Linked DNA regions of Schizosaccharomyces pombe. Changing the gene in region 1 together with any one later gene gives a genetic interaction. Each region holds a gene or a part of one and is shown in the gene's direction. Other genes may lie near its edges. The genes, in order: mpc1, php3, jmj2 and gcn20.

Region 1 (7,673 bases):
CTTCAAGGGATGCCTGGTATAGGGCTTCTTCACGGAATTCTCGAAGCTTAGAAAGTTTATAATGGGCGCGTAACAAATTTGGCATATCAGAGTCAAGTTCTAAATCTTCACGCAACATGTCTTCTATTACATCTGTCTCCTTGACTAAATTATTTAACTGCGATATCATTTGTTTTGTTGCATAACAATTTTTGTATATCCGAGACATGCGACTGATTAACGGAAATTCATCGACCATCTCGCGTGCACTCTCACATAAAGTCAACATCTAAAAAAAAATCAACATTAGTAAAAAAGTCTTTTAGAAAATGTCAAGAAAGCTTAAGCTTCGACTTTACTCACGTTATGCAATTCCTGAAGAAGCTTCACTCTTTTCGTTTGAGCATCATGCAGTGCCAATTTCCCCAACTAAAGACGTAAGTTAGATCAATTACAATTATCGCATTAATTTAATATTTGTGCTAACCTCAACGGCTTCCACGTGCTTTTCGAGCTCCGTTTTCACATGCATATTAAGAGACGCTTGCTCGCGTTCAAATCGCTCAATATGAGTAGATAATCGATGAAAATCCTAAAATCATCAATTGTTAGCTTTCGATCTTAATTCCAAGCATCCTAACAAGGACCACTTACCTCACATTGTCTAAGAATATCCGCTACCCTGACAAAGTTAGAGTAATCGTTTCATAAATGGTATTTTGATAAATAATCCTTACTTGTTATAGACAGCATCATCCGATGCGGCAGCGGTCATTTTCTTAAAGTTATAAGCAGACCTAGTGCTTACAAACGTTTCTATTTACTGACAGATTGATTAATATATTTACGGACTGGTTGTAAAGGCAGGCAGCTTTAAAGCATTGCAATTCATTTCCGTAAAACAAATAATTCTCTCGTCAAACTTCCTTAACTAATTTAAGAAGTTTGTACAGCATAAATTTTAATATCAAATTCACACTCGTAATAAGGTGTAAGGAAAATATTCGCATTGCTCTATTTTTATAATATTTAAATGATAGATTGATAGAATAGTATAGATCTGAGCAAGGGTTTAAATGAGTATTTAGCCAAATTTTTTGTTTTTGTTATCCAAAAATAGTTAGCATACCTTTTTACAAAAATTTAAATAATTGGTCCTGTTCGAATTTACCTATAGTGTTCAAATCGTCTACGAGGCTCATTTAAGTAATAATATATACTTTGTCTCGAAATCATCCTTCTTCCCTATAATCCCAGAAATCAGTATACTTCTTAATTGACAAAAAATCAACAGGAATTTCTTTTCTTTTAACATCCAATTAATAAAGCTCATAATGTGAATTAATGGATTACGTAAAGCTTCGGTATCTGATTTCTTCAAAAAGTGAGATTTTTTCCTGATAAAGTAAAAAATATATATATAATAGATTATTTGTTATATAATCTTCCAATATTCATCAACTGATTGAGGTATAAACATTAAGAGACTGTAGCTAATCTCCGATTTTTCTGCTCCACTAATAGGATAATAAGCTAGTAATTTGAAGCCTTTGGCAAGCCAACCACAGCCTATATTATTTTTTTAAAAATGTATGTCACTAAAAAAAACAGTTTTAACATTTTTTTGTAGGAATGCATCAGAAAAGTTGAGCCAAAAGGCTGCTCAGTCGGTCACAAGAAGGTTTATTACCTGGTTGAAAAGCCCTGATTTCAGAAAATATTTATGTAGTACTCAGTAAGTAGATGGAAAGGTTTAAAGATTGCTATCTCTCGTTTTTTTTATATTATTTATGGTTTAAAAGATTTCTTTGCTAATAAGATAGCTTCTGGGGTCCGTTGTCGAATTTTGGAATTCCTATTGCTGCTATTTTGGATTTGAAAAAGGATCCCAGGCTTATTTCTGGGCGCATGACAGGTGGTATGTGTTAAAAAATAGTCATATCAATAACTTGGCCATGACAATGCGGTTTTGGGGAAGCTCTTTTAGAGATTGGAGTTAGTTTCCTTTTTTCCGCTGATCGTGGTTATCTCTGTTGTCAATGCAGTTATCGAGATGACTTTCTGTATCGTTTAAAAGTTGCTTTTTTGTTAATCTCCTTAGCACTTATTCTCTATTCCAGCGTCTTTATGCGTTATGCCTGGGTATGTTTTGAATCATCTTACTCCTTTCTCCAATATTTGATAGAACTTTTACTAACTAGCGTTTAGATGGTAAGCCCACGTAACTATTTATTACTCGGATGCCATGCCTTTAATACCACTGTTCAAACGGCACAAGGAATTCGTTTCGTCAACTTTTGGTAGTATGTGTATTGAGACTTTGTTATTCTATTGTTTACTAACGACTTATTTAATTAGTGGCAAAGAAGGTGCTTCTAAACAATCTGTTTTCGAGAACATCATGCAAGCAGCCAAACATCCTGAAAGTGGCACTCGTCAAAAGTGAAAAGGGTCAAGTATTTATTCTTTAAAATACGAGTGAACGGATAAGTCACTTGCTCTAACAAAATTGATTCGAAGGAAGGGTATAAATAAGCAAACCTGAGAAATATGTGTTATCGGTTTATTACTTGCTCTAATATAGGAAAAATTCATTTTTCCTATTTAGTTTAGGATTTGCAAATTTTGAAGTCCGTCATTATTTTGTTAATGTACATTCTTTTTTCTTTTTACAAAATGTCTTTTTCTATTTTACTGGTCCGAGACGTCGTATCCTTGTTTTTTGTGGAAGCACAACTAAATTGTTTTGATAATATCAACAATATGTTTTCAGGCAAAAGTTGTCACGTGGAACGATATTTTTATGATTGTGGCTTCTAGTATTCTGTACTTCTTAATACAAAATATTAACACTATTATATGGTAGCACCATGGCGTACTAGTTTTCTGATTTGTCGGTTACTGAATATTTATTGAATATATTGATAACGGTAAAGTCACTTTTTAAAAGAGCAAGTTCAGTTACACAATCTAGCTTTTACTAGGAAAAGTAGTTTCAATTACTTTTTTAATTAATTTTGTGTAATATTCCGATATATTAGATGTTAGGCTTAAAAGAAATCGAAAATACTAACAATTAGGGAGGTCATTAGTGAAAAAGAAAATTAAACAAAATATAAACGATCAACGGTAATACGTGATCACAAAATTGAAGGTCAAAGCATTTCATCACCAAAATTTTTAAAGTTAGGTGAACATGATCGGGAAGTTCAGAATAGCTTTCACATATTTTACACCAGAACGCCAAATGCTTGTAATTCTATTTTTATTTTATCAAAAAATGCTTCATTGACAGAGTTTGTAGACACCGTATCTGAGTATTTACGGATGGCTGTTTGTAAATCCGTAAGCAAGAATTCCAAACGTAGCAACAATAATGAAGGATCCTCTGATGATTCTTCATTGATATTTTTCCAAATTTTTTCAAGATGAGAGATGTGCTCCTTATGCACGATTTGTTGATCAATGCCGTTATCTTTTGTGTTGTTTAAGAGCTCTTTTAAAATGTTGAAATTTTTCTCAAAGTCTGCACAAACAATTTTGTCATTATCCATTGGATCTATAGAAGACCAATCGGTCTGAATTTTATTCTGATTAAACATACACAAGGAAGTTAAATCGGTTTGCTTATATAACGAATTTGAAGCTGAAGAGCATGTCTCGGAAGCACTATCTCCAAAATATGTGGAAGAATCAGTATCGGAATCGCACTTTAAAGAATAGCGATCGCTTCCACTTTGCTCATTAAAATAAAATCTCTTAGAGCAAGTTTGGTCATCAAGGTGAGATTCGAAATTTAGTTGCTTGTTTACATTTTCGGAGTAGTTAATGTCAATAGCGTGTTTCTCACAAAACGAGACAGAACCCAGCGTTTGGGAATTATGTACATTTTGCTTTCCTAGAACTGAAGAAGATCTATTGGAAAAGAAAATATAATGGAGCAACTGCTTGAATTTATGGGTACGGGTGTTTCGAACGCTAGATGAATTTTCAGAAGAGCTTAAAAAATGTGTCAGTTTGCACTGAACTTCACTCAGTCTGTTAGTGTTTTCGTTACTGAAGAATTCCAAAGAAGGGGTAGCGGAGGTCAAGGTGCGATAGGTATGTACACGTTCCTTCCTCACTTGTGTAGTTGGATAATCAACGAAAGTGTTTTTACAGATCATAGTGGGCAAAATTATTGAGTCCGAAAAAAAATAATGAATAAAAGTAGATCCGACAAAAAGCTGGCAAAAAGAGTTAACAAAAATATTCCCACTTTGTTTTATTAGATTATGTGTATGAAAAAATAATGCAGAAACCTCAAGGATATGTATAGAACTGTATCACCAAAAGAATCATATAATAGTCATGCTTTAAGCCTCTTCAGTCTCTTAAAATAGACCTCTTTCTTCAATCAAGCGAAGAACAGTAATTTTAGCGTCTGTAAACTCCACCTACTGAGATTTCAACTTACGATCTAATATTTACTCAACAATTTGTAAAGTCACTTAGTAGTCATTCGTTCGTCTCGGGCGCAATTCTAAACCACTTCCCGGAACTTACGCCTCTTTGGATTGTGATGAAATTACACAAAACTCCAATCATGCTGATTCATGGTTGAGACAGGATGACTGAATGAGATGACCTTTCTGACATTTTCGCTAGTTCATTTGAGACAGTCCGATGACGGATGGAACTTTGAGTCAAAGGAAAGGTTTCTCATGTATCTCTTTTTCTTCATTAATTAATTACAAACTCATCTCTTTAATTGCCAACAATTCACACGATAATAGCATGAAAATTCAATGGTCACTAGAAAGTTAATATTAAAACAATCATTATTTGCTAACAACTTCTGTCTTCAGTTTGCTACCTGATATCGTTTAACAGTAATTCTGGGGTAAAAGGGGCTGTAAGGCGGTGAATTATTTTATTGGCTCAAATTTTTAATCATTTATTATAAACTACTTTGATTTGCAAATTTGGGCCAATAGTCTAAAGCTTTTTCTTAGGAGATTTAACGATAAGGTCAATCCACCAATCATTTTTTGCTAAACTACGTTTTGAGATATATTAAACTTGAACGTTTTTGCACTAAGTGCGGGGTTATAATTGATGAATTAGCTAGTTGTCTGGTAATGACAGAATATGACAGTCAACATCTGAACAGAAAACGATTAGGAGGCTTAAAAAAGATGCCATTTATTTTGTATATAAAGGGTAAAATTCAAACACTCTTCCTTCCATTAATAATTTGAAGCTTACTTGTAACAGCCACAAGGATATTTCTCATATTGATTTATACTAATAAGAGAAGTACCCTTTATCCCTCCCTATTTGAGTATTGCAGCCGTTTGATAATCATTTAAAATACGATTCCTTCGTTCCGCTTATTTTGTTTTCTATCATTTTTATAGGAAATCCTCCTTGAACATTTTTTTGATTTCGCTGGTCCCGCTGTATATCTCTTGACTTTTGTCTTTTGTGATTTTTTGATATTAAATACTTTCCTCCTCGATTTTCAACTCCGCTATTACTGTCTCTTTTAAATTCTTTCCCTTTCTTCCTTTTAATCTTCAAAACAAAAATACTTTCTCTCTTTTTCTATTAAAAGAGTGAATTACTATTTTCGTTTGTTTACATCCCATTTTTCTCCACATTATTGACACTGTTTGTTTGTTTTTTACTCCAACATCCGATAGTGACAAGCCCCCTTTTTGATTAATCGTCGAATTTTTTGGAACATTGAGCGATTATCCTTATTGTTTGTTTACATAATTTGTTGACTTTGGTGTTTGTTTATTAACCAATTTTTTTCCTATAAAAGCGGTCCTCACCTCGGTACTTTTCTTCTTTCTCTATATTATATCTTTTGAGATTTTCTATACAGACTCTTTTAACTTGGGAAATAAAGACTATCCTTTCATTCCTTAAAGAAAAAAAGTCCTTTCTCTTCGGTATTCTTATTCTCTGTATTCTTATAAGGTTTATATACATATAGCGTTGTATTATTAAATACCAAGGATTCTCTATACTTACTCTTCTATTCTTTCCTTCTTTCTCTAATATTACTACATCGTTGCGATTAATATATTTATAAAAGCAACCCGGAAATTTTCTTTTTTTTCTTTTACTTAATCAGGACTAAAGAATTTTCTCATTTGGTCATTACTTTTTCTTTTTAAAAAAACTAGCATTTATTAAGAACAATGGCGAAAATCTTAACCATTGTCATGTTGGTCTTCGTGTCCATGGCCGGATGGATGTTCGGTGCTGACACGGGTTCCATTGGTGGTATCACTAATATGCGGGACTTTCAATCTCGATACGCAGACAGGTATGATCCTGTCACAGATACGTATTCGTATTCTTCTGCTCGCCAAGGTCTTTTGGTTGGTATGGTTAACACTGGAACTACTGTTGGATGTTTACTTTCTTCACCTCTTGGAGATCGATTCGGTAAACGTAAGTGTATCATGGGATGGACATTGGTTTACATTACCGGTGTTATCGTTCAACTCACCACAATTCCATCTTGGGTTCAAATGATGGTAGCTAAAATTTGGACTGGTCTTGGCATTGGTGCTTTGTCAGTCATTGCTCCTGGTTACCAATCCGAATCTTCTCCCCCCCATATTCGTGGTGCCATTGTAACTACTTATCAATTGTTCATTACTCTTGGTATTTTTATTGCCGCCTGTATCAACATGGGTACTCACAAATACACCACTCATCCTGAAGCTCAATGGCGTGTTCCCATCGGTATTAACTTACTTTGGGGTATTCTCATGTTCTTTGGAATGCTTTTCCTCCCTGAATCCCCACGTTACCTTGCAGTTAAAGGAAGAAATGAAGAATGTATGAAAATTCTTACTCGTAATGCTGGCCTCCCAGCCGATCATCCCATCATGCAAAAAGAATACAATGCCATTCAAGCTGACGTTGAGGCAGAATTGGCTGGTGGTCCTTGCTCCTGGCCTCAGATCTTTAGCAACGAAATTCGTTACAGAACACTTTTGGGAATGGGTGTCATGGCATTCCAACAATTGACCGGTAACAATTACTTCTTCTACTATGGTACTCAGGTATTCCGCGGTACTGGCTTGAACTCCCCCTTCCTCGCAGCTTTGATTCTTGATGCTGTCAACTTTGGATGTACGTTTGGTGCTATCTTTGTTCTTGAATACTTTGGTCGTCGTGGTCCCCTCATCGTTGGTGGTGTTTGGCAATCTATTTGTTTCTTTATTTATGCTTCTGTAGGTGATCGTGCACTTACCCGCCCCAATGGTACTTCGAATCATCGTGCTGGTGCCGTTATGATTGTGTTCTCATGTCTTTTCATTTTCAGTTTTGCTCAAACTTGGGCTCCTGCCGCATACGTTATCGTTGGTGAATCGTATCCCATTCGTTATCGTTCCAAGTGTGCTGCCGTCGCTACTGCTAGCAACTGGTTCTGGAACTTTATGATTTCCTTCTTCACTCCCTTTATTAGCAACTCAATTGGTTTCAAGTATGGTTATGTGTTTGCAGCTTGCAACTTGTGTGCCGCTATTATTATTTTCCTATTCGCCAAGGAAACCAAAGGTCTTACCTTGGAAGAGATTAACCAACTTTATTTGTCGAATATTAAGCCCTGGAACACTGGTGCTTACCAGCGTGATCGGGAAGATATTAAGCAAAGCGACTCAGAAAAGGAGCGTGGACCTACTTCT
Region 2 (7,187 bases), on another chromosome or scaffold:
AAAGCGTTGCTTCGCCATCCTTCTCTATGACGAAGAATTGGGCTAAGAAAAACGACTAAAACATCGATGGCTAAAAGGAAACAAATGATTCGTTGTGTAACTCTTTCGGGCGCATTTGGTGAGTATACAAACATAATTTGCATGGCTAGTAAAATGGCAGCTAGCGCGGTGAAGCCAACGGGCATAAAACCCGGAGATAAATGGCTAATAATCGGGATGGAGATGAAAATATTAAGAAGTAAAAATAGATGGCATATTATAGTAATTAACAGTAATCCAACCGAGGTGCTACGAATCCAATAAAAGAGAGGTGTCAAAGCATACGTATCAGTGTTTTCAGGAACATTGCCTCTATGCGATCCCAGAAACCTGGGCAGCAGAGCCGATCTTTCGTTAGCAGCTTCTGCGTTCACGTCTTGAGAAGTATTCATGGTTCTCTACGTTAATTTTTCTTTACTCGGTAACCAAATGGGGATGGTTCTGAAGTAAGATGGTTCTTTTTAAAGATAAATAGAAAGGAAAGAAAAGAAAAAGAAACGTTCTTCACTAGAAACAGTGGATCACGGGAATTTGAGTAGAAGGGAATAAAGAAACGAAACGAAACGAAAACTATATGGATTTATAATTAGAGTAACGGCGTAAACAAGATGGACTGTTGTTTTTAAATCCCAGCAAAAATATATATAATCACAACAGAGAAATCGATTTTGTCACAACTAGATGTGACAATAAAACAATTTTAGGTAAAAATCAAATGTTTCTGTTTATGCAGTAGACAATTACCACAAAAAAAAATAGAAATTGACTTGATAATTGTTGAAAAAGTATTATTTGCAATGAATACAAGTCTTTGCAATACTTTTGAATTTTCTTTTAACAATAGCTTGACTACCAAACTATTGTAGGCAAATGAATTTATTATGTAAAGAAATCTTGGTTAAGTTCTATCCTTTTGCGGACCCTTCACCATCACTGGCTACTTGCCATATATATTATAAACTGCCATTATGTTCTACGTAAATTAGCCTGCGTCGAGGAAACGTAATGAATGGGCGGCTCAGCGTTGTATGGAAATAAGACTAGTTAAGTGTCCTTTAGTAATGCACTCGATTACTCTATGTGACGTCGAGAGGACGGAAGAGTAGGAATGATGGTAAAGGCAAAAAACATATTCGTTCTTTTGACAACACACAGCTCGCATCGCCTTCAATTACCCTTGCCAATGTTGCAAGTGATGATGGGTGAGATGGGATAGAAAGAGGAGCAAACTTTTAATCTGATATATCATTGATGTATAGGAAATGAGAAATAAAAATACAACTAGGTTTATAGTGCATTCCACTGTATAATATAAAGATTAGGATAGATACACATGACTTTTGAAGTGCAGAAGTATAGTCAAGTAGGGAATATAGTTGAGTAGATGCGAGTTGTAGAACAAAACAATTCAGTATACGCAATTTTCCCCTACGGGAACATATTTAGGTATGCGTGCGAATGGAGAGTGAAGATGAATGAAATGTAGAAAAAAAAAACACTGGATTGTCAGTTTTGCCATAAGATACATTTACTTTCTTGTTATTCCATTTTTCTACGAATCTTCTTTGCTAGGTTATTTTTATTAACTTTTTCGCAAACACGATTTTAATAACATTGAATTCCTCTTCAGTTATCAGATGTGAACGGTAAATACCAATTGTGAACTATTTCAAACGAACTTAATATTTGCTCTGTAAGTTGTAAAATAAATGTCTCATAATTATTTCGCTGTCAGTTTCCACAATCGCTTCTACTCTTTTTTTATATTTATATTTATATTTTTTTTTTGAATTAAATTAATTCATATTATTATTTATTTTTCTTGGTTTTCTAATGATATGTTTATGATATTTATAAAAGGATTTATTTATTTGCTTTTTGTATGAAGGATCGTCGCTTGAATGACAAAACACTTCTTTTGCTAGTCTCTCCTTTCCTCTTGTTTAACGTATATCACGATTATTTTGTCAGCGTAAAAGTGACATAGGGATTAGATGGCATCCCACTTTCTTTTTACTGGGAAACCTTGGCTTCAAGAGAAGACGCCTCGCCTTCACCTTCATCCCACTTGGGACCTTAAAGCTTCCAAAAGTCTTGCTCGTTTCCCTTATACGCCACTTGAAAGTCTTTTGGCCCCCATTTCGGCCTTTCACCCCACTTACCTAAATAGCGCAGCCCCGTCGAAGGCTCAGAGCCATCCAGTATTGCTCGCCGCTGGAGTAGGTGGAATAGTAGTTAGATGCCCCAGTCGGAAACCGATATATCGTACCACTCGAATTCAGTATCTCTTGTTAATCTCCCACTTTACAACTGCACTATTTAAATAATATTATAGGCCGATACAGTCAGTCTGCGAATTGCTTGCAACCTGTAGAAACAAATTGCTGTTTCTTTTGCAATAACATAGTGTTTCTTTATCGCAATAACCAACTACTGATTTCTTTCCCTATTGGAAGTAGATAGACGTTTACTTTCTTTTGTGAAGAAGCAGAAAGTTAACGTTAAGCCATTACCCTCGTTCATTGCTCAAAAGGAGGTCATTTCTTTTTATTTGATTTGTTCGTCTTTTAGGATCTTCATCTCCTGCTGAATTATTGGATTTCTTTTTAGTTCCCTCCACAAAGGCTCGAGAATAGGTTATCAGCTGTCGATTTTTGTCAAGGATCGTGCTTGCTAGTAGTCAAACCAATTTTAGCGGGGTTTGTGTACTTATTTTCGTTATTTGAGGTTTCTCTGCTCGCCAAAATTAAATTATACAAGTAAAAGATACATTTAATTATCATGAGCGCAGACGGGTTGGATTACACCAATCTCCTACCAATTGCAAATGTCGCGCGTATCATGAAATCGGCACTTCCCGAAAACGCCAAGATTTCCAAGGTATGCATGATTTGTTGAATTGAGAAAAATCGCATTGTCAGTCTCTTCGATTGATTGATTGCTAGTGACGGAGTAGGTCGCTGTGAGTGCGTTCTTCTCTTTTGTTTTGTAATTTTCATGTTGCAGTGCTAATGTCTGACTTTTTAGGAAGCTAAAGACTGCGTCCAAGATTGCGTTAGTGAGTTTATTTCCTTTGTTACTGGTGAAGGTATGGAATCAATAGCAAAAGCCTCATGTATAGTTATTTACTGACCATATAATAGCATCTGAACAATGCACTCAAGAAAAGAGAAAGACAATTACTGGTGAAGATGTTTTATTGGCTTTAAATACCCTTGGGTTCGAAAATTATGCCGAAGTTTTAAAGATTTCTCTCACCAAATACAGAGAGGTAAGGAAAAATTCTTTATTTGAATGGTGATACGTGTACTTCTACTTCCTTGTTGGCTTAGAGATTTAAATTGTCTCAAGCAATGAAGGCGCAACAATTCATTCACTCATACCAAAATTTCATTCTCATAGTCACTTTTCTAACATCTACTCTAGCAACAAGCAAGATCTGCTAGCATGAAAGAAACTAAACAAAGCCGGTCCGAAGAGCCTCAGTAATTTCCTTATATATTTTGCATTAGCGGGGTTTTCCCTGAAATATTTCCTGACTTTTGCAGCGATCGTCGATCGCCTTATTTGTTATTCCTCTCTCTTTTTGTACTCTCCTGTTTTATCTCTGTTTATCTTACAAATGATGCTAATTTACGAACTATGTTAATTTCTACTTTAACCAAGTTTCAAAGATAAGCACTATATTGCCAAAATGGCCTGTTCATATTTAAAACTTCCTTAATGTCGTCAGTATAAATTTAGCAATTACTATTGCCTGTTTACTTAAAGTGTATTATTGTGATTATCCCTCATTCGCTTTTGCTTACTTTTTCATTTTGTTAATCCTGCTACTGTTAACCTATATATTATTTTGAAAAAAATAGCATTTCATTTTTATTTTTACTCATTTCGTCTATTTCACCGAAATCAGCATAAGACACATATAGTCATTCGGTTCATGGAAGGATTAGCCGATGTTTCCGTAGTCATATACGTATCAATCAATAAATTTTCTTATTGTCAGGAAAGTGTTTAATCCTGCTGTAGCTAGTATGTAAATTACCTTCTCAGCGTACGGCTATATAATACCAGGGTCATTTTCCGTCCACCGATTCTAATAGATTCCACCAACTTCGTATGTTAGGGATTCGTGCCTCGTTTCCCATCTGTTTATCTAAAATAACTAATTTAAATTGCCGTAATAAGTTTCGATTAACACATCAAAGCGTTATCAATACTAAGTCTTCATTGTTTGCGCGCTTAAAAATTTCAACCCACACTCCTTCTTATCCTTTACCTACACTACACCGCAGAGACCTCATGACCGCCGAATCAGAGGTAGTTAATTGGCCTGCCAATGAGATCAGGCGTACGTTTTTGAAGTACTTTGAAGATCACGGACATACTATTGTTCCTAGCTCTTCTGTAATTCCTTACGATGACCCTACCTTACTTTTTGCGAACGCTGGTATGAACCAGTTTAAACCCATTTTCCTGGGAACTGTTGATCCTTCTAGTGATTTCGCTAAATTAAAACGCGCTTGTGATTCTCAAAAATGCATTCGTGCTGGTGGAAAACACAATGATTTGGAGGACGTTGGTAAAGACAACTATCATCATACTATGTTTGAAATGTTGGGTAATTGGTCTTTCGGCGATTACTTTAAAAAAGAAGCTATCGCAATGGCCTGGGACCTACTTACCAACGTTTACGGTCTTAAGAAAGATCAGTTGTATGTTACATACTTTGGTGGCCATGAGGAATCTGGTTTGGAGCCTGATTTGGAGGCTCGTCAACTATGGCTTGACATTGGTATCGATGAATCCCGCGTGATTCCTGGAAGTTTGAAAGACAACTTTTGGGAAATGGGTGATCAAGGTCCATGTGGCCCTTGTTCGGAAATCCATTATGACAGAATTGGAAATCGGACTGTCCCAGAGCTTGTCAACATGGATGATCCGAATGTTTTAGAAATTTGGAATATTGTTTTCATCCAATTTAACCGTGAAAAGGATGGTTCACTTCGTCCCCTTCCCAATCGCCACGTTGATACTGGTATGGGATTTGAACGTCTTGTGTCGGTTATTCAAAATAAAACCTCCAATTATGATACTGATGTCTTTTCACCTATTTTTGCTAAAATTCAAGAGCTCACCAATGCCCGACCTTATACCGGCAAAATGGGTGATGAAGATGTAGATGGTATCGATACTGCATACCGTGTTGTGGCCGATCATGTTCGTACCCTAACTTTTGCTATTAGTGATGGTGGTGTGCCGAACAATGAAGGCCGAGGCTATGTTTTGCGTCGTATTTTACGCCGTGGTGCCCGTTATGTACGTAAAAAATTCGGCGTGCCAATTGGAAATTTCTTTTCTAGACTTTCTTTAACTGTAGTTGAACAAATGGGGGATTTCTTCCCTGAACTTAAGAGAAAGGTAGACGACGTCCGGGAACTACTTGATGAGGAAGAAGAGTCTTTCTCTAGAACTTTGGATCGTGGTGAGAAGATGTTTGAGCAATATGCTGCCGCCGCTAAAAAGACTCCTTCAAAAACACTACAAGGTAATGACGTATGGAGGCTTTATGAAACCTATGGGTTTCCTGTTGATTTAACTCATTTAATGGCTGAGGAGGCAGGTATCAAAATCGATGAACCCGGTTTTGAAGCTGCTCAAGCTCGATCTAAGGAAATCAGCAAGCAAGCTTCCAAAGGTGGTTCTTCAGGAGATGATCTTCTGGTGCTGGATGTTCATGCACTCGGTGCACTTTCTAAAATGGATGATATCCCAGAGACTGATGATGTTTTTAAGCATAACTCTGTATCATTGAAGTCAGTTATAAAAGGCATATATCACAAGGGCGGATTTCAAAAAAGTACTGAGGGGTTCAACTCTGGTGAGCAGCTCGGGTTGTTGCTTGATCGAACTAATTTTTATGCCGAGCAAGGTGGTCAAGAATATGATACTGGTCACATTGTTATAGATGGTGTTGCTGACTTTAGAGTCACCAATGTGCAAGTCTACGCTGGATATGTACTTCATACTGGATTTCTAGAATATGGGAATCTCACGGTTAATGATTCGGTTGTTTGCGAATATGATGAAATTCGTCGCTGGCATTTGATGAACAATCATACCGTTACTCATATTCTTAATCTTGCTCTTCGTAACACCCTTGGTGACGGTATTGACCAACGTGGTTCTTTGGTTTCACAAGAAAAGCTGCGATTTGATTTTTCGTACAAGTCCTCAATTCCTATTGATAAGCTTCTCTTAGTTGAGAATTATTGTAACAACGTAATTCAAGACAACTTGTCCGTGTATTCAAAGGAAGTTGCTTTGAGCAAAGCCAAAGAAATTAATGGATTGCGTGCTGTTTTTGGTGAAGTTTATCCCGATCCTGTTCGTGTCGTTTGTATTGGTGTTGATATAGATACACTTTTGCAAGAACCAAAGAAACCTGATTGGACTAAATATAGTATTGAATTTTGCGGTGGTACTCATTGTGATAAAAGTGGTGAGATTAAAGACTTTGTCATTTTAGAAGAAAATGGTATTGCAAAGGGTATTCGTCGTATTGTCGCTGTAACATCAACTGAAGCCAATCGCGTTTCTCGTCTTGCTAACGAATTTGATGCTCGCATTGCCAAATTAGAGAAAATGCCTTTTAGTCCCGCAAAAGAGGCTGAACTTAAGAAGATCTCTGTCGATCTGTCAAAATTGGTTGTCGCTGCTGTCCGGAAGCATGCAATGAAGGAACGTATCGCGAAGATCACCAAGCAAGTCCAAGAACATGTTAAAGCTATCAACGCTGCTGAGCAGAAAGAAGTTGTTAACGTCGTCACTGAATATTTTAAAGAAAATCCCGATATGTCATTTGTTGTCGCTAAGGTCCCTATTTCTGCTAATCCCAAAGCCTTAAGTTTTGCCCTTACTTATGCTAAGAAAAATTTGAAGGATAAAAGTATTTACTTGTTAGCATCTGACGATACTAAAGTTGCTCATGCATGTCTTGTTTCACCTGAGGCCATGAAGAAGTTAACTCCACAGGAGTGGTCTCAAAAAGTTTGTCACAGTATTGGCGGTCGCAGTGGAGGAAAAGGTGATACTTGCCAAGGTGTAGGTGATAAACCTCTTTCCATCGACGTTGCAGTGGAGGAAGC
Region 3 (8,586 bases), on another chromosome or scaffold:
TACATCCTAAACTTATATCTTGCAAGTAAATTAAAGTTATGAACTGAATTTAGCTCCCAATAATTACAATTATCCAGTTCTTACGGTTGTGACAGATATCATCATTAAAGCGGTAGTTTCACAATCCAATTGTTGCGCTATAACTTGGAGATTGAATATTTTTTTTTTCAATTGCTATTACCATTAATTAATCATCATAGACAGCTCGCATGACTGGTTCAAAAAGTAAAAAATTGTATTATTCTACTTTGCGTTGAGTAGTTAACAGTTTTCCTTACTTGAAAAACATCGTTCTTTTCCAGTTAATTCAACATTACACGTTTATTCAAAGTTTCTATAACTTCTATAGTTTTGTTTACTTGGAAATACCGTATTTGACCAGGATACATAATTCGTATTGCGTAAAATTGATGGGCTTCGTTAATGTTTATGAATGAATTAACTAAAGCCGAGCATTAAATAAACTTGCACATGGTGATGTTTTAGACTGAACAATGCGCATATGAATGTGTTGTTTAACCACATTTAAATGAACAGAAAAAGAAAGCAAGCGTAAAGGTGACATCTTTTTTTAAAATTAGAAAAAAAATTAATGTCTTCAATTTTTCGTTATTGAATATATCACAGGTCATTTGACCAATCTTGGACTGTTTATACGAATTATGCAGAAAGTAATCAATTGCTAAAATAATCAATATGAAGCTTCCTAAAATTTTATATGACGCAGCTGCATTTGGAGGACCAAGATCCACGGGGTTTGTTAAGATATTAAACCTAAACGGTCGTTCTTCGTATAAGTCATCGTATCTTGTGAATCAGAATTTGATGGATGAAGCGCTTGTGAAAAGCAATCTGCTTAAGGAATACAACTCGGAGAAAATGACTATTTTAGAAATGGCACCGGGACCGGGAGTGACTACCACTTCGCTGTTCAATTACTTCCAACCTAAAAGTCACGTTGTGCTAGAATCACGGGAAGTTTTTTCCAAACCTTTACAAAAATTGTGTACGCTTTCTGATGGAAGGATTAAGTGGGTGCATCAAGATGGTTATTATTGGCAAACTTACGAAGATGTGTACGTTTCGAAGGTTTTGGATCCTCGTATTCAAACAGAAGAGGAGCAGAAGTTATCACCACATCGCGAACTTTTATTTTTTGCTCATCTTCCTCATGGTTATGCCGGGTTATTATTTGTTTCTCAAATTTTAGACTTTCTCTCGGCAAGGGATTGGCTTGGCATTTTTGGAAGAGTTCGTGTATTGCTATGGTTGCCCTGTTCTCCTACTGTTACTCTTCTTGGAAGTAGGGGATTTTCAAAAAGATCCAAGACATCAGTTTTCCGAGAGGCCTTTACAGACTCTCGTGTATTAGCTGCCTCCGAGTCAACATTGCAAAAATTATGTATGGGGTATAGTAAAGAGGCCAAGGAGAATTATCAAATTTCTCCAAATCCTTTATTAGTTTCACCCACGCCAATTACTAGTGAACCGCATAAAGAGGACCTTACTTTGGTTGAAATGTGCTCCAAACCACAAGATAAACAATTGTCTATTCCAGTGTTTGAAAGCATTGTTAGGATACTGTTGACATGTAAAGCAACATCACTTTCAAAATCCATTTATTATTTAGGCCCAGGTGCGGAAACTCTATTACCCTCCTTCACCCAATGTGGGATTAACATCGATATGCCCGTTGGACTATTGAGTGCAGCCGACTTTCTTACCATTTCAAAAATTATACAAAAATATCCTTTCAAACATCATTTACATTTGGGTACAATAATTGAAGATTCATAAAATTTACAGAAAATTGGGGGAAACAAACGTATTGATTGTTTTTGTTCATACACGCATTTCTTTGCATCCAGTAATTTTGGTTTTTTAAAACCACTCTCTTTTTTATCATTTCTCCACTTCATGTTCTACTCATTGCGTTCTGAGGCCACTGTATTTCATTTATTTGCCTGTGCCATATTCGCTACATCATTAAAGGATTTGTTTGCGTTGAGACACGCGTTCATTCTAATCACCATATTTAAAATAACTTATGCTTGCTTAATCTATTACTAATTTATTCAATTTAAGTGGATAGCTTCCGTTCAGGCTTGTTTTACGTTCTTTTATGTCTCTCATAGTCTCAGGTATCATTTTTTTTTTGGAAAGTGCATAAATGCAATATGGATTTAACTGAGCTATTTTAAATGGAAGTTTACATCTTTCAACTTTTTTAGATGTTAATTAATACAAATACCATAACTTCGAAAAACTATTATAATATTCTTTATTATACCATGCTGTTTATTAAATTGTTTACTGAATTAATGTTTCATTATTATGAGTTGCTTTAGCTTTCAAGGTAGTATTTAATAATCGTTCAGTAGAAAAGCGGATTATTCATTCCCAAACATAAAAAGGTAAATGGAACATACTAGATTAGTTTCTACCCGTATTTGGCATTCCAAAAATAATATGATGAGATCTCATCAGTTTAAAGTGCGCTAGACAATAAACTACCATTAGGCCACGCATATTATTTACTGTTAGCACTGCACACCAAGTAAACCAATTAATTCAAAACATGGGTTCAGTTCGCATTCGCTCTGTCATTAAAGAAGATCTTCCGACCGTTTATCAGTTTATTAAAGAATTGGCAGGTAAGCGCCGTTATGACCAAGAGGACGAAGTCGTGTAGATTCTATTAAAAGGCTAGAGCTTTTGCCAGTATCCCAGACTCACAGGGTCTGATTCTCTTATTGAATTGGAGATTACTCTTAAGCTTTTTATATGGATTTGAGAATATATGGTTTTCGTCAGCAGGGTCGATCTCTACTTCTGTCCGCATGCTATCAGATCAGTTTGTGTTACTATTTAAAAACCGGTTTTAACATTTTGTTTATGAAGAATTTGAAAAATGTGAAGATCAAGTGGAAGCGACAATTCCGAATTTAGAAGTTGCATTTGGATTTATTGACGAGGTTACTCCTGTGGCATATGGAGTATTCATCGAAGAAAATGATCAGGTTCGTAAAAAAAAGTAAACTTGCTTGATCTTTTTTACTAATCTATAATTGCCATCAGCCCGCAGGAATGGCTATATATTTCCTAAATTTTAGGTAGTGAAAAGTTCCGTTTTGAAATATATGAGCTGACGTTGAATAGCACGTGGACTAGCAGAGTGGGGATTTATTTAGTATGTTCTTATCATATTGTCCTTCATAACCTTTTTATTGAAGGATTAACTTTTGATTTCATAGCAAGATTTTAACCATTCAATTTCTTAGGAGGACTTATATGTTCGACCCCAATTCCGTGGAAAAGGATATGGAAGCTACTTACTGTCTTATTTAGCACGAGAATCACTTAGAATTGGTGGCAGACGTCTTGACTGGGTTGTAAGTTGTTTATAACCCATTTCTTTTTTTATACCTTGACTAATACCCTAGGTCCTTGATTGGAACCAGAGAGCCATTGAAGTCTATGAAAAGGCTGGAGCACAAAAAGTTGGAGGATGGAGTATGATGAGAGTCACCGGCGAGAACCTAAAGGCTCTTGCTGATAAACTTCCCGGCAACTTTTAAACTCATACCCAATACTTAACGCTCTAAAAAATTGAAGCATGATATGTTATACCTTTGAAACCTTGAACTGGAAAGAGGAAAATTAATTTTTTATGATTGAAAGATCCTGGATCTTGTAGTTTCGTTTTAAAGCGGTCATTTCAATGTCTTTAGGTTATTTCCCGTTTACCAAAAAATACGATATCAATTTACATCTTACATTTTTTAAAATTAAAAAATAAAGAATCCTTTTTTTTGCAAAGTAAATTATTAGAACTGGTATATTGTTCTAATGTTAATTCCTATAAAACTAATTTGATCGTTTTCCTTTCAATTCATCAAATCGGCTTCTTATTGTGTATTAAAAAATAGAAAGAAAGTATTGGTTAGTATTCTTGAATATCTTTTATTGTGTTTCTTTTTCGAAACGCGTCGCGCGCAATTGTAAACAAACCAACTACCTACAACAGTTTGCCTGTCAATGTTTCAAGGAAAGTGCGCCTTTTTTGATGAAACCGTACCTTCTGCATTAATTGCTTTATGGCGTAAGTTTTAAAGGTTTGATGTGCACTTGTTTGTTGTCGAATGATTTATGGTTCAGTTGTTCTTACTAAAGATAGAATTACACAACGGAGAAGCGAAATTTTTAGCAGAAGGTTATGAAAATTTTGATTATGCATTTTCAATGCATCTAAGAAAGCACGTCCGCTTGCCAAATTACAAATCAGTTCAATGTCGTTCTCCTTGGTGGATTGCGGAGCAAGTAGCTGTTTCCAGAAGGTATTTATTAAATTTACTAAATATTGCATTGATAGTTTATCTTATCATTTACCAAGGCAAGTACTAACCACCATTATTAGCAAAAGTTACGTTTCTGAACCTGTCATTCATTTGAACGTGATGGAACCTTTATATGTTGATCACAGAATACGTTCAGTGTATCTACAGCCTCTGCCATCCACGCTTTCTTTTCTAAACGGTGAATTACCTTGAAATGCTTTGGTGCTGATATGGCGTTGTTCCGATTGTAAATTCTATGCTAATTGTGAAAAATACCTTTCCTTTTTCTATCCTTTATAATTTAATGATCGTTCCTTTAGCTCTCAAAATCGTCAACTGAAGTTGTCACAACCTTCACTTAACCATACGTTACGAATATTAATTTAATGCCTATTTATGCTATTAGCCTAAGATTATTTTCGAATTTTACCTAATTTCTTTATTTATATCCCATAAAGACACTTACGTCTTTTCAATGGACAATTGAACAAGTATACATTGCATAAACATAAAAAACTTACTTCATCTAAGTCCGAGTTTAAAAACTGTTGTTTCCATTTATTATTTCTCATTTACGTTTCGTTTCTTTTTTATTCTCTATTTTTTAATTCTTTTTATAATAACTTTTTTTTTCTGGAATCGCTCACCATTCGGACTAATTTATCTACTTATTTGCATAGGAAACATGAGCAAGTCTACTTTTCATCAAACTTCCCCATCTTTTGTACAATACACTCATGCTACAGATAAACTAAAACCTGCACCTCATGGGATGAATACGCGGGGAAATAACTTATCCTCTATGTCAAAAAATACCGGACAAAGAAAACAGCGTTCCAAATCCATTCATGGACTTCCAGTTGCTCCCGTTTTTTATCCTGATAAAGAGGAATTTCAGGACTCTATCGGTTATATTAATAAGATAGCTCCAATCGGTGAAAAATATGGTATCATAAAAATCGTTCCTCCTGCTGGTTGGAATCCACCGATGCAACTTGACATGAACAAGTTTTCCTTCCGTACTCGGCGGCAGGATTTGCATATGATGGATCTTCGATTTCGTGAAATAGTCTCTTACGATGAACGCGTTTACCGTTTTTTTTGCAATCTGGGCATGGAGCTCCCGGAATCATTTTTTATTTCCAATACGTCTATCGACTTATACAGCTTAATGCGTTGTATTGATTCTCATGCATCTCTAAGTGAGAAGGAATTAAAAGTTCATGTATGGAAAAGGATTTTACGAGAACTTTCAATTCCTTTTACTAATGCATCATTAAAGGAAGCAAGTGACTTGTATTTAAGGTATATTTTTCCATTTGAGGATTTCGTCAGAAAATATCAGACCTCTGAGGATCAATGCTTTGAAACTGATCTCTTCCCTAAATTTTTTACAAAAGACGAACATTCTAATATTAGTATTAAAGATCAGAAGACATCTAAACAATTTAACCCCGAAACTAATGAGTCCGTAGGAATTCTTCAAAACCAAGAATCCAAGAGAAATGAGCAGATTAAACAACAATATATGCCAGCCGATAATTTTGGATCAAATGATAATCACTCACATAATAAAAAGCGACGATTGAGCTCTCTGTCAACGAATAACAACCACTTATGTGACAATTGTCACAAACCTGTCAATTGTGAAGTCGAAGATACGTGTAAAGAAGCGTATTGTACTAAATGTATAATTAATCCATATGAGTTTGGGTTTGAAACAGGGAATTATTATACTTTATCGAACTTTGAAAAATACTGTGACAATTTTAAGAAAAATTATTTTTCTAAATTTAAAGACTCGGAGATAACTGAGGATATTGTTGAAAAAGAGTATTGGAAACTCGTAAAAGACAATAATACAAGCCTTGAAGTGGAATACGGTGCAGATTTATCAACCCTTGATCAGGGCAGCGCCTTCCCTAGTTTAGCCAAAAATCCAGTGAATCCTTACTCTAAGGACACATGGAATTTAAATGTTATAGCATCCACAAATGGTTCTCTATTAAGCTATATAGATAATCCTGTTTCAGGTATAACCTGTCCGTGGCTGTACGTTGGAATGTGTTTTTCAACTTTTTGTTGGCATGTCGAGGATAACTATACTTATTCCGTAAATTATCAACATTATGGAGACACAAAATTATGGTATGGAATTCCAGGTGATCAAGCCGAGAGGTTTGAACGCGCCGCTCTTGATATTGCTCCTGATTTGGTAAAAAAACAAAAAGATCTGCTTTACCAATTAGCTACAATGATCAACCCTGATGAGCTACAAAAAAGAGGTGTCGATGTTTATTTCATCGACCAGGGGCCTAATGAATTCGTGATTACCTTTCCAAAAAGCTTTCACGCAGGAATTAATCATGGGTTTAACATTAATGAGGCAGTGAATTTTGCTCCCAAAGATTGGTTACTAAACGGATTCTCTTTGAATGGCGTTTTGAAATATCAGTCACTTCTTAAACCTCCTGTACTTTCACATGATATGTTGGTTTACAATTTAGCGACAAATCCGGCGTCAGAGATAAGTGTGTCTGAGCTAAGGCCTTGGGTGCATGAGGCTGTCAAACGTGAATTAGGTATACGTATCATGATACGAGGACGCTATGATTTAAAGGAAATACTTTATCGTGAATTAATGGAGGATGCCGAAAATTGGCAATGCCAGCATTGCAAAGCATTTTCATACTTCTCTCAAGTTGCTTGTTCTTGCAAGTCGATTACTGTATGTCCATTACACATCGAATATCTTTGCAAGTGCGATTTAAGCAATAAGACCTTACGCCTAAAAGTCGACGATAATGAGTTACAGAAGTTGCTAAGTTATTAAAGTTACATTTATTCTTTTCTAAAACAATTATTTTGCAATTTATAAACCTATATTTTCAAGGTCATTTACAAACATCGTTGGATTCATGTAATGTAAACAATTTGACTATAATCATAGTATTGTACGTTTAAGGAAGCGTAGTGTACTTGCTTATGTATGAAGCAGTTTCCAACCTGTGAAATTTACTTCTTGTACATTCTCACTTTGCATAACAAAATCAAACCCAATTTTTAAACATTTAGAGCTCTTCAGTTTTTTGAAGATAGAAGGGATAAATATGAAACGAACTGGTTCTGCGAGTTCAGTACCTCGATTTCAGCGATCGATGAGCTACGATCAATCTAATTCTCCTACAGCAGGAGCTCATGCAAAGGCAAATACGGCATCGCCTGCTGCTGAGCCTGCTCCCTCATCAAAAGAAAAAGAGAATTGGAATCGGCAAGAAGAAAATGATCTGGAAGAAGACGATAGGGATGACTTTGGTACAGCTGCTATTTCAAAAGTTGCTGGAAAACCTGGTGAAACGGACGACGAAGCTAATGAAAAATTGCGCACAAAATATCTTCTAGAGAGTTTTGATGAAGAGCAAATGCAAAGATACGAAGTGTTTCGTCGTGCTAACTTAAATAAAACCAATGTTAAAAAATTGGCTAACCAAATTTTAAACCAAAGTGTAACCCCCAATGTTGCTATTGTGATCTCAGGATTTTCAAAGGTGTTTGTTGGAGAAATCGTTGAATTAGCTCGAAAGATTCAAGATCAATGGGGGGATACTGGTCCACTGAGTCCTGATCATTTACGAGAGGCGTATAGATTATCACGTCAAAATCGGAGGCTTTATCCACAGAGCCGTCATGTTAGTCATTTGTTTCGGTGAATTTAGAAAACACATACCTAGGCTCTTAGTGTATCTATCACCGGTTTTTCTTCCCTTCTAATTTTTTCATGATATGCCTTATTCTTTAAAAGCATGGGTTAGGGATTTACATTTTTCATACATTAAAATGAAGACAAATTACCCCTATCATTTGTACATTATTTTTATTTTGTCCAGCTACAACTGCCAAACAATTGCTAGTGATATGTCACAACTGTATGTTAATGAACAATATAGTTGATAAAATTACAGAATGTTAATATAAATTTAATGGATCTTTCTTTATTGAATGTTTCTAAAGGCCATTTGCTGTTGCTCTTTGTAATTAGTAATATGTTAATTGCTGTTGTCCAAGCATATTTCGTAATAAAATCTACTGCTGAAAGTACAGCAAAATAATAATAATGGTATGAACGTTATATTTTTTCGTGTTTGAAATACTTTCTTTCTCATTTATATTTATCTTTCAAGCTGTTTTATTGACAATTGTGCTTGTTTATACCTCGATAGCGATGTAATTCTCAGCAATGTTTGAACCA
Region 4 (8,588 bases), on another chromosome or scaffold:
GTTTTGTCCCATCACCATCCCGTACCGATATCCTTACTACACACTATTCCTACTAACCCTCTAGCTTATATCCTTGTGAAGGAAAAGCAGAAGTTAGATTTGTAAATAGAAGGTGTTGTTTATTTTTTCTAAAATAGAAGATCACATATGTAAGGGATACACTGTATCTTGTGAGTGCGTATTAAACTCTATTTGAAGATATTAATTGCACAATCCTGTGAGTGTTGTGCTGTTACTGTCTCTTTTTTGGTTTTTCTCTGAAATTGATCATAATTATTGACGATTTTACTTTTTTTCGAGTTTCAAAATATAAAAAACAAGTTTTTTTTTAGTAGTTCATCTTACATGGGTGGTGAACTTCTGAATACTTTAGACTATACATACAATTTAGACGTACATATACGTACTTACATAAAGAAAGAGGATTTCGATTACTTCATTTGTTTAGATAAGTCGAAAAATCTATTTTTGCTAGAATATTGATCTTTATTTTCTTCTCTCATTTCTCTCTATTTTATTTCTGAAGGATTGATCAAAAAATGGGTTTACCAGTTCATAACCAGCCCCATAAAGCACACTCGGGCTCTCCCGCATCTACCTTTTCCGCTGCTCTGGTTTCTTCTGCCATTAGCAATGTTATTGGGTATCCTCTTGACTCGATTAAAGTTCGACAGCAAACTTACAATTTCCCAACCATTCGCTCTTGTTTCCAAAACGCTGTTAAAAACGAGGGATTAAAAGGTTTGTATCGTGGTCTTACTCTACCATTGATATCAGCCACTCTATCGAGGTCAGTATCATTTACGGTGTATGATTCCTTAAAACTTACATTTGCTCATGTGGATCCTACACTTCGGTATTTCATTTCCGGGCTTGGGACTGGTACTTTTATATCACTTTTTGCTTGTCCATTCGAGTATTCAAAGTTATATTCACAAATTGACATGCTTCTTCGCAAAACAAATATGGGCCGTCGGCAAGAGACAAATTCCAAGCTAAGTGTCAGACCTCCCTTGTCATCTTTCCAGAGCGCTTCTGACATTGTTCGGAGGTATGGATTTACTGCATTATGGAATGGGTATCGTTATCATCTAACCAGAGACGCTCTAGGATCGGCTTGTTATTTTACAATATACGAAACCTTTAAGAAAAATCTGATAGCGAATGATGTGAAGCCGCATTTTGCTTATGCCTTCTCTGGTGCTTTTTGCGGCGCTTTGTCTTGGATTTTGGTATTCCCGGTGGATACAGCCAAATCCATTGTACAAAGAAATACACTCTTATCAATTAAAACCCCTTTGTCTTCCATTCCTTGGTTATCGTTTACTATATATCGAGGTATAGGTATTTCATTGATGCGAAGCGCTCTTATAAATTCTTGCAATTTTACGCTTTTTGAATTATTTCGGGAAACTAAAGTATTAAGCAAATAGTTTTATTCTAGTTTTACGAAGTCTTTGTTGTCCATTGAGTCGATAACCCGTCGGAATGCATTTCTATACATATTTTAACTTGCATTCGACTTGCGGTTGAAGTTTAATCACATTTTAGAACTGGTTTTGTCGTATATATTTAAAGTCCCATGGAATACTTTTACAATTTTTTTGATGCTATTTATTTTTTATTAAAAGCATTTTTACCTTCAAAAACTCCCCTCTCATCACTTTTCATATCATGTGCTGCTGTTAGTTTGACAGTAATTCCACTGAACTTGTTATACATTTCACGAGTTAACCGTTTCAATCTGAAAGTATATTTTCTTTTCCTCTTTTCCCTGTTTTTTTTTGTTTTGTTTTGCTTTTTACGTCCTGTTTTGGTTAATCCAACTCTTTCAATATCTGTATGTACCTACGCTTTTTTTTCTTGTATAGTTGAATTTTGTTTTGTAGATTTTTGGTAGAGGTGTAAATTGGATGAAATTTTTGAGACTAATAGTCCTTCTATTTCAGCGATTGTTTATTTGGGCATTTAAAACTTTAGCTATTAGATTTAGTATGTTTAATGTACTTTCGGACAATGCTGGCTTTCTTACTCAATACATGCTACCTAAGTGAGTTACCACTACCATCCACATATATTGTGAAGGAAGAACAATGTCTCGAATTTTGGTACGTTATACATTGCTTTTTTTAAGAATTTAGGAGCTAATATATAGAAATCACTAAGTCGTAGTTATTCGACCACCTCCCCTCGTCTTTACGGTATGAAATGACATTTTGATTTTGATGAGATTACTAATGGCAATTTAGTCGATGTAGTACAGGGTTTATATATTTCTTCTTTAAGTATGTTATTATATTCTCTTAATTTACCAATTTCTTACACGTCGTGTCTTAGAATCATATAAGCCTAAAGCTGTCCCTTCCGAAACGGCAGCTGAAGTAAAGGAATGGTCCATGCCTAGCGCTCCTACTGCTCCAAAATACGATGTTGACTTTACTTCTGCTTTAAACTCTTACAAGTATGAGGGAGAAACCATTCCCACTAAGGCTGCTGGAGAAAGCAACAAATTTGACTTTCTTGAATCAGTATGTATCTCTTCCTTTACATTGCATCAGCTAACTTTTCCTTCAGTATGAGAATGAAAAAGAACATTAAATTTATTCACTGCTTTTCCTATGCTCAATTGGAAGATGTTTGGTAATTAACTTTGATTAAATTTTGCCTTTTATTTTCCGATTATGAATTTACATTTTCATCTACGTCGTTGAGATTTGATTTTATATCTATTTCATGCCTTTGTCTGATCCTTCTTTTGATTGACCACGAACGTGGATGTATCTCTATAACTCCCGTCTCACTATGATTTATATTCTAGGTTAACGTATCCTTTTTCTGCTTTCTAAATGTCTTTGAACATAGCTGAATTCAATGCTTAGTCGTCTCTTCGATTACGGCACGAAACAGTTGTTGCCTTGATTGATAGAAAACCACTTTCATTGAGTTGAGATGTTTTTCTCTTTGCAAAGTATTTCTATTGAGTTCACATTTGGATTTTTTTTTTCAATTTATATCAACTCAATACAATTGCTTTTATTCAACAATAAGGATTAGCTTGATAAAATTTGATGTCTACTGTGGGTCATTAAAAATATCAGTAAAGTTCACAGTAGTTTTCTTGGAATTGTAATTTTTTTTCTTAAAAAAATATATAATTCACTATTATAAGGTATTTAGTATATTTTCATGCCTAGTCTCATCGTTTTGCCGATTGAGGCTTCATATATAGCAGTAGTATAACTTGCTTAGTACTATCCACCTCACATCCAACATGGAGCAAGTCATTCAGAATAATTGCTCTGAAGTAGACCCTCATGTCCTCAGCTACTGCACTGGATATGCTAATGATGCTATTAAAGATGTAGATGAGGCTTCAGACCATACGATCTCTCTCATTCGTAATTTATTGCTAGATGCTGGCGCTCGTGAGGAAGCGGTACAGCTCATACAAAACGAACTAGAGAAACAATTTAAAGAAAGAGAGGAACATCTAGATACATTACAAACGAATGGACTTGTTCGTTTGAAGGAGACTATTCGAATGGATTCCCAATCCGAAATTTCGTCAACTATGGGTTTGGTTGGCGAAAAGATGGAATTAGATGCTGTAAAGGGCCGTAAGGTTGAATCTAGGGTAGATAGAAGAAAATTAGAGAAGGCTGAACGGAAGATTCGTGCCAAATGGGAGAAACGTACTATCAAAGCAGAATACGAATCTTCAAAGTTGGTTCAACCCGAACAAAAGTCTTATGAAGAGTTTTACATGGCTGTAAATCCTCTAGATTTATCCGGAAGTAACCAAGGAAAATCGAAAGATATTAAAATTGATGGAATTGATCTTGCTTTTGCTGGTCATCGTATATTGACTGGTGCTTCGTTGACACTTGCACAGGGTAGACGATACGGTTTAACTGGTCGCAACGGTATCGGTAAATCTACTCTTCTACGTGCTCTTTCTCGCCGTGAAATTGCGATTCCTACCCATATTACCATTCTTCATGTTGAGCAAGAAATGACAGGTGATGATACACCTGCCCTACAGTCAGTTTTGGATGCCGATGTTTGGCGCAAGTATTTGATTCAGGACCAGGAAAAGATAACTAATCGTCTATCAACGATTGAAAAAGAATTGGAAGAACTTAGTAAAGACCAAACTGCTGATCAAGCTATTTCCCGTCGCCTTGAGCGTGAACGAGACGAACTTGATTTACGGTTGTTAGATATTCAAAATAAGCTTTCCGAGATGGACTCTGATAGAGCAGAATCACGCGCTGCTACTATTTTAGCTGGTCTTGGATTTACTCAAGAAATGCAAAGCCATGCTACCAAGACTTTTTCAGGTGGTTGGCGTATGCGTTTGTCATTGGCACGTGCTCTGTTTTGTCAACCAGATTTACTACTTTTGGATGAACCTTCGAACATGCTTGACGTTCCCTCAATTGCTTTCTTATCTGAATATTTACAAACTTATAAAAATATCGTTTTAGTCGTTTCACACGATCGTTCTTTCTTGAATGAAGTTGCTACTGATATTATTCATCAACACTCTGAGCGCTTGGATTACTATAAGGGTAATTTTAGTCAATTCTATGCTACTCGTGAAGAACGTTGCAAAAATCAACTTCGTGAATATGAAAAGCAAATGGAATACCGCAAACATTTGCAATCATTCATTGACAAATTTCGTTATAATGCTGCCAAATCATCCGAAGCACAAAGTCGTATTAAGAAGTTGGAAAAACTGCCGATCCTTGAAAAGCCTCAAACTGAGGAAGAAGTTGAGTTTGAATTTCCACCTGTGGAAAAAATATCTCCTCCTATCTTACAAATGTCTGATGTCAATTTTGAGTATGTTCCAGGTCACCCTATTCTCAAACATGTTGATATTGATGTTCAAATGGATTCTCGTATCGGTGTGGTTGGTCCCAACGGTGCTGGTAAATCAACAATGCTTAAGCTTCTTATCGAACAACTTCATCCAACATCTGGTATAGTTAGTCGGCACCCCCGACTTCGTATTGCATACTTTGCACAACATCATGTCGATACTTTGGACTTAAACTTGAATGCCTTAAGCTTTTTAGCTAAGACATTTCCTGGCAAAGGTGAAGAAGAATACCGTCGTCATCTTGGCGCTTTTGGTGTTAGTGGACCTCTTGCATTGCAAAAAATGATCACGCTTTCTGGTGGTCAGAAATCTCGTGTTGCGTTCGCATGCCTAGGTCTACAAAACCCTCACATTCTTATTCTAGATGAACCCACCAACCATCTGGATATGGAGTCCATGGATGCCTTGACAAGAGCTGTTAAACGCTTCCAAGGTGGTGTGATTCTTGTTTCTCACGATGTTGATTTCTTGGACAAGACATGTACCAGTATTTGGCAGTGTGACCATAATGTCGTCTCCAAGTTTGATGGAACAATTTCACAATATAAGAAATTCTGTCTATCTCAACAGCCAACCATGACTATAAAAACTTAATGGAATAGCATAGACTTAAATAATAATAATATAGCTGGCGAGGATAAATAAAATCAAATTCTTTTATCTATGAATCTGGATAAAATATGTAAACGAAGTTAACTACATTTTATACAGTAAAAGACATGAAGTGTTAAATAAGATTAAAACAGTAAATTAATTATAGCTAAGTAAGTCATAACACGGTAATGGACAAGAAACCTGGAAAGCATGCAAATCATCAACCAACACCCAAAAAATAAAGAGAACAAACCCAATCAATTAAAAAGTAAAGAGGAGGAAGGGGAGAAGAGGAGAAAATAAGGCGGACCAAGGAAATCAATAGCAGAAAAAAAAAGAATATACAGACTAGTAAACAAAAAAAGAAAGAGAAAGGAAAAAGTTAACTCATTAAATTCGTTTAGGAACTTGACTAGAAAACCTCGAAGGATTTGGAAAAAAGGACATGGGAAAAGACGTAGGGCGAGAGATTGATGGAGAGGAGGAAGATGAAGGTTGAGTTTTGACGGCGTTGAACGATTTAAAATTCTGAGAGGTGAAAGACTTTGGAGGAAGAGGAATGGACGGATAGGTATTAGAGGTTAAAGGACGCTTTGTAGAAGTATTAGTAGCGTTAGAAGAAGAACGTCCAAGGGGATGCAATTGGGGAAAGCTCCGAGAGGATGAAGTAGCTGAAACAATATGACGGGTAGCAGAGCCTTTTTGAGAAAATCACTTTTAGCTCTCGCCATTAGAGAACTTTTTGGACAATAATTACTCATGGGACGCGGACGCTTAGGAGGCCGAGCAGCTCTAGGCTCACGCTCTAAAGGAACAATTCGCTTGTTTTGTTTACTTTGCTCTAGCTTGGTGTAAGCACTTCGAAGCTTAGCAGAAGCAACGTTATAATGAGCATTTCTTTTTTTCTTAAGTTTTCCGTAGAGCCCTCTCCAATCATCAATATTGTTCAATATAGTTCGTTTTTGAAGTTCTAATCCAAAATCACGCAAAACGTGATCTTTCCACAATGGTTGAGTGTCAACTTTCAAATGAGGCGACTTTTCTTCCAAGTCTATTAAATGTTCTGGTCTAGCTTTTTCCAGGATAGGTTTTACGAGTTCGAATGGGCAATCGCCAATATCATCGATGTCGTGCACATGCTTCTGCGCGACTTGGATGCACAAATCTTTTAAAGAATACATCGCTCATATGATAGTAATTTTTAAAAATTTCAAAGAAAACGATCGAATTAGAGCTCTATAGTCTTCAATTGGAAGAGTGCTTTTACCTTATTTGAATGTAAACAAAACCAATTCAACGGGGGAAAATGTGTTTCAAAGAAGGAAAGGTCCAGAATCTATCGATTAGCTAAATTCCTTTCCTTGTTAGTATATGCGTATAAAACGCGGAGAATCTAAGTGCGAGTAAAAAAAAATTCCAGATAATTGTTTGTTTCCGACAAGTTGAAAAAGACGGCGAAGCAAACCTATTTGTTCACTTATACAAATATATTAAAAAATAATTAAAATCTTTAATTTGTTAACTCGGTAAAATCGTTAAATTATCGCTAAATAAATTTATCGACCTTTATCAAATTTTCTTCATTCAATTTACGAGTTCTCAACCACCGTTTCGTTATAAATATTTGCGTATTCAACGTTAAAAACCGTAATTATCCTTCTTGCCTTTCCGGCCCAGTGGAAGTTCCAATGACGCCGCGGAAGGGCTGCACACCTCAGTAGCGAATATGGGGAAAGAGCAAATTCATGCTTGCCACGATGACTACCTGGATGCTTGATGTAGGTGACGTGTTACTTAAGATGAAAATGTAAATACAAGAGAAGAAATGGGTCAAGAAGGCGATTAATGGATGAAAAGAGAAATTATTCATAGAAAAATTTTTCCTTAAATATGCGCTTTTATTAATCTTTCGTTTAGGTTTTTTTCTCTCGTAAATTAATTCAGATATAGGTATTTAATCAACATTGCCAATTTCAACAAGTTTTAGGGGTTACGTGCAATAGTTTTATTGTTCTATTGTTTTTTAATTCTTCTCTCAATCCTAACTCTTGAAATTTTGTCGTACAAGACATTTTTCGCATTTCGTCAAGTTAAATTTTATGTTAAACTAGAGTTATTTGCGAATTAGGCTAATGAGCAGAAACCACTTGAATATACAAAATTTTATTTATTTATTTATTTATTTATTTTTTTTAAAAAAAGAGTAAATGGTAATTAATCTACTAGAAGCGTAAAAAGAATTGTTCAATACTTCAAAAAGAAAAATATGTATATCATATATCAAACCAGATTAGCAATCAATGCCAATAGCTTTATTCATTGAAAAAATAAAAAAAATAAAGAACGGTTATAGATGAGTCAATTAATTTCGTACTTTAACGTTAGTTGGTTTATTTCGTTTTTGTACAACATTATTTACTTTTTTAAATACTTAGTTCCTGCTTATCATAATGAATATAGCTAGCTTCATTAGTTAAAATTATTAGTATAGTTTTCGAAATTGTAAACGCTACTATAGTTTCTTTTTTCTGTAATTTCCTAAATTGCTTCAAAACAGCATTTGCAATGCAGCACATTCTCAATTAAGAGCAGTTGTAAGCAAAGAGCAATGAGAAATCTTTCAAATTAGATAAAATGAAGTACAGTAAGATCCACATATTCAACAAAGCTATCCTTTCCCTTTAGTGTCTCTGTTGCTATCACTTATATACGAAAGCATGGCATTGGAAGCGTAAAATGAATCATTAATTTTGCAGATGTAGTTTTCTGGGATCAGGAAATAAAAAATTTAAGAAATTTCAAAAGAACTTGAGAAGAAATTGATGAACTAGTTGGTCTGTAGGCAAAAGATCAATGATACCAAATTGTTTCCTTGATAAAAGTCCCATTGCCAAACAAGAGTATAAGTTAAAAGAAAGTAAAGAAATAAGGAAAAATATAAATTGATGATACAACTATACTATCAAACTATTCTTTGCAATTGTCAGTTTTAAAGTTGAAACCTATTTCCTGTAGGATAGACAAACGAGGAAGCAAAAAATACCAATAAAAATGTTTATGATTTTCAACTAGTTATGTATAATTTGAAAATCACTTTAAATTGACT

Evidence for each region.
Region 2: mutations in mpc1 (region 1) and php3 together harm fitness more than expected from each alone (negative genetic interaction), as found in Schizosaccharomyces pombe (one large-scale study listed by BioGRID).
Region 3: mutations in mpc1 (region 1) and jmj2 together harm fitness less than expected from each alone (positive genetic interaction), as found in Schizosaccharomyces pombe (one large-scale study listed by BioGRID).
Region 4: mutations in mpc1 (region 1) and gcn20 together harm fitness more than expected from each alone (negative genetic interaction), as found in Schizosaccharomyces pombe (one large-scale study listed by BioGRID).

Annotation. Positions count from the first base shown.
Region 1 is NC_003421.2:198,563-206,235, forward strand, and holds mpc1 (protein mpc1), read left to right. Parts: upstream 1-1,539; 5' UTR 1,540-1,567; coding exon 1,568-1,569; intron 1,570-1,609; coding exon 1,610-1,714; intron 1,715-1,802; coding exon 1,803-1,897; intron 1,898-2,080; coding exon 2,081-2,121; intron 2,122-2,187; coding exon 2,188-2,282; intron 2,283-2,337; coding exon 2,338-2,425; 3' UTR 2,426-3,063; downstream 3,064-7,673. Other genes in the region: sec6 (exocyst complex subunit Exo3), read right to left, coding at 1-268, 343-408, 467-571, 634-661, 717-754; mug146 (protein mug46), read right to left, coding at 3,210-4,145; plasma membrane glucose/fructose:proton symporter Ght6, read left to right, coding at 6,171-7,673. UniProt on the Schizosaccharomyces pombe protein: Mediates the uptake of pyruvate into mitochondria.
Region 2 is NC_003424.3:2,142,861-2,150,047, forward strand, and holds php3 (CCAAT-binding factor complex subunit Php3), read left to right. Parts: upstream 1-2,820; coding exon 2,821-2,919; intron 2,920-3,066; coding exon 3,067-3,127; intron 3,128-3,182; coding exon 3,183-3,310; intron 3,311-3,465; coding exon 3,466-3,528; downstream 3,529-7,187. Other genes in the region: SPOM_SPAC23C11.06C (hydrolase), read right to left, coding at 1-431; SPOM_SPAC23C11.07 (uncharacterized protein), read left to right, coding at 2,034-2,366; alanine--tRNA (Ala) ligase Ala1, read left to right, coding at 4,342-7,187. UniProt on the Schizosaccharomyces pombe protein: Belongs to a complex that binds to the sequence CCAAT located upstream of genes involved in mitochondrial electron transport.
Region 3 is NC_003424.3:1,803,234-1,811,819, reverse strand, and holds jmj2 (histone demethylase Jmj2), read left to right. Parts: upstream 1-5,022; coding exon 5,023-7,170; 3' UTR 7,171-7,272; downstream 7,273-8,586. Other genes in the region: RNA polymerase-specificity factor Mtf1, read left to right, coding at 697-1,797; SPOM_SPAC1002.07C (N-acetyltransferase Ats1), read left to right, coding at 2,579-2,654, 2,902-3,020, 3,079-3,113, 3,160-3,190, 3,282-3,392, 3,444-3,578; bouquet formation protein Bqt2, read left to right, coding at 4,039-4,102, 4,178-4,337, 4,418-4,550; transcription factor TFIID complex subunit Taf11, read left to right, coding at 7,448-8,047.
Region 4 is NC_003423.3:2,051,108-2,059,695, reverse strand, and holds gcn20 (AAA family ATPase Gcn20), read left to right. Parts: upstream 1-3,253; 5' UTR 3,254-3,271; coding exon 3,272-5,482; 3' UTR 5,483-5,555; downstream 5,556-8,588. Other genes in the region: ort1 (carboxylic acid transporter), read left to right, coding at 540-1,433; atp14 (F1-ATPase subunit H), read left to right, coding at 2,094-2,108, 2,156-2,201, 2,250-2,285, 2,338-2,528, 2,575-2,598.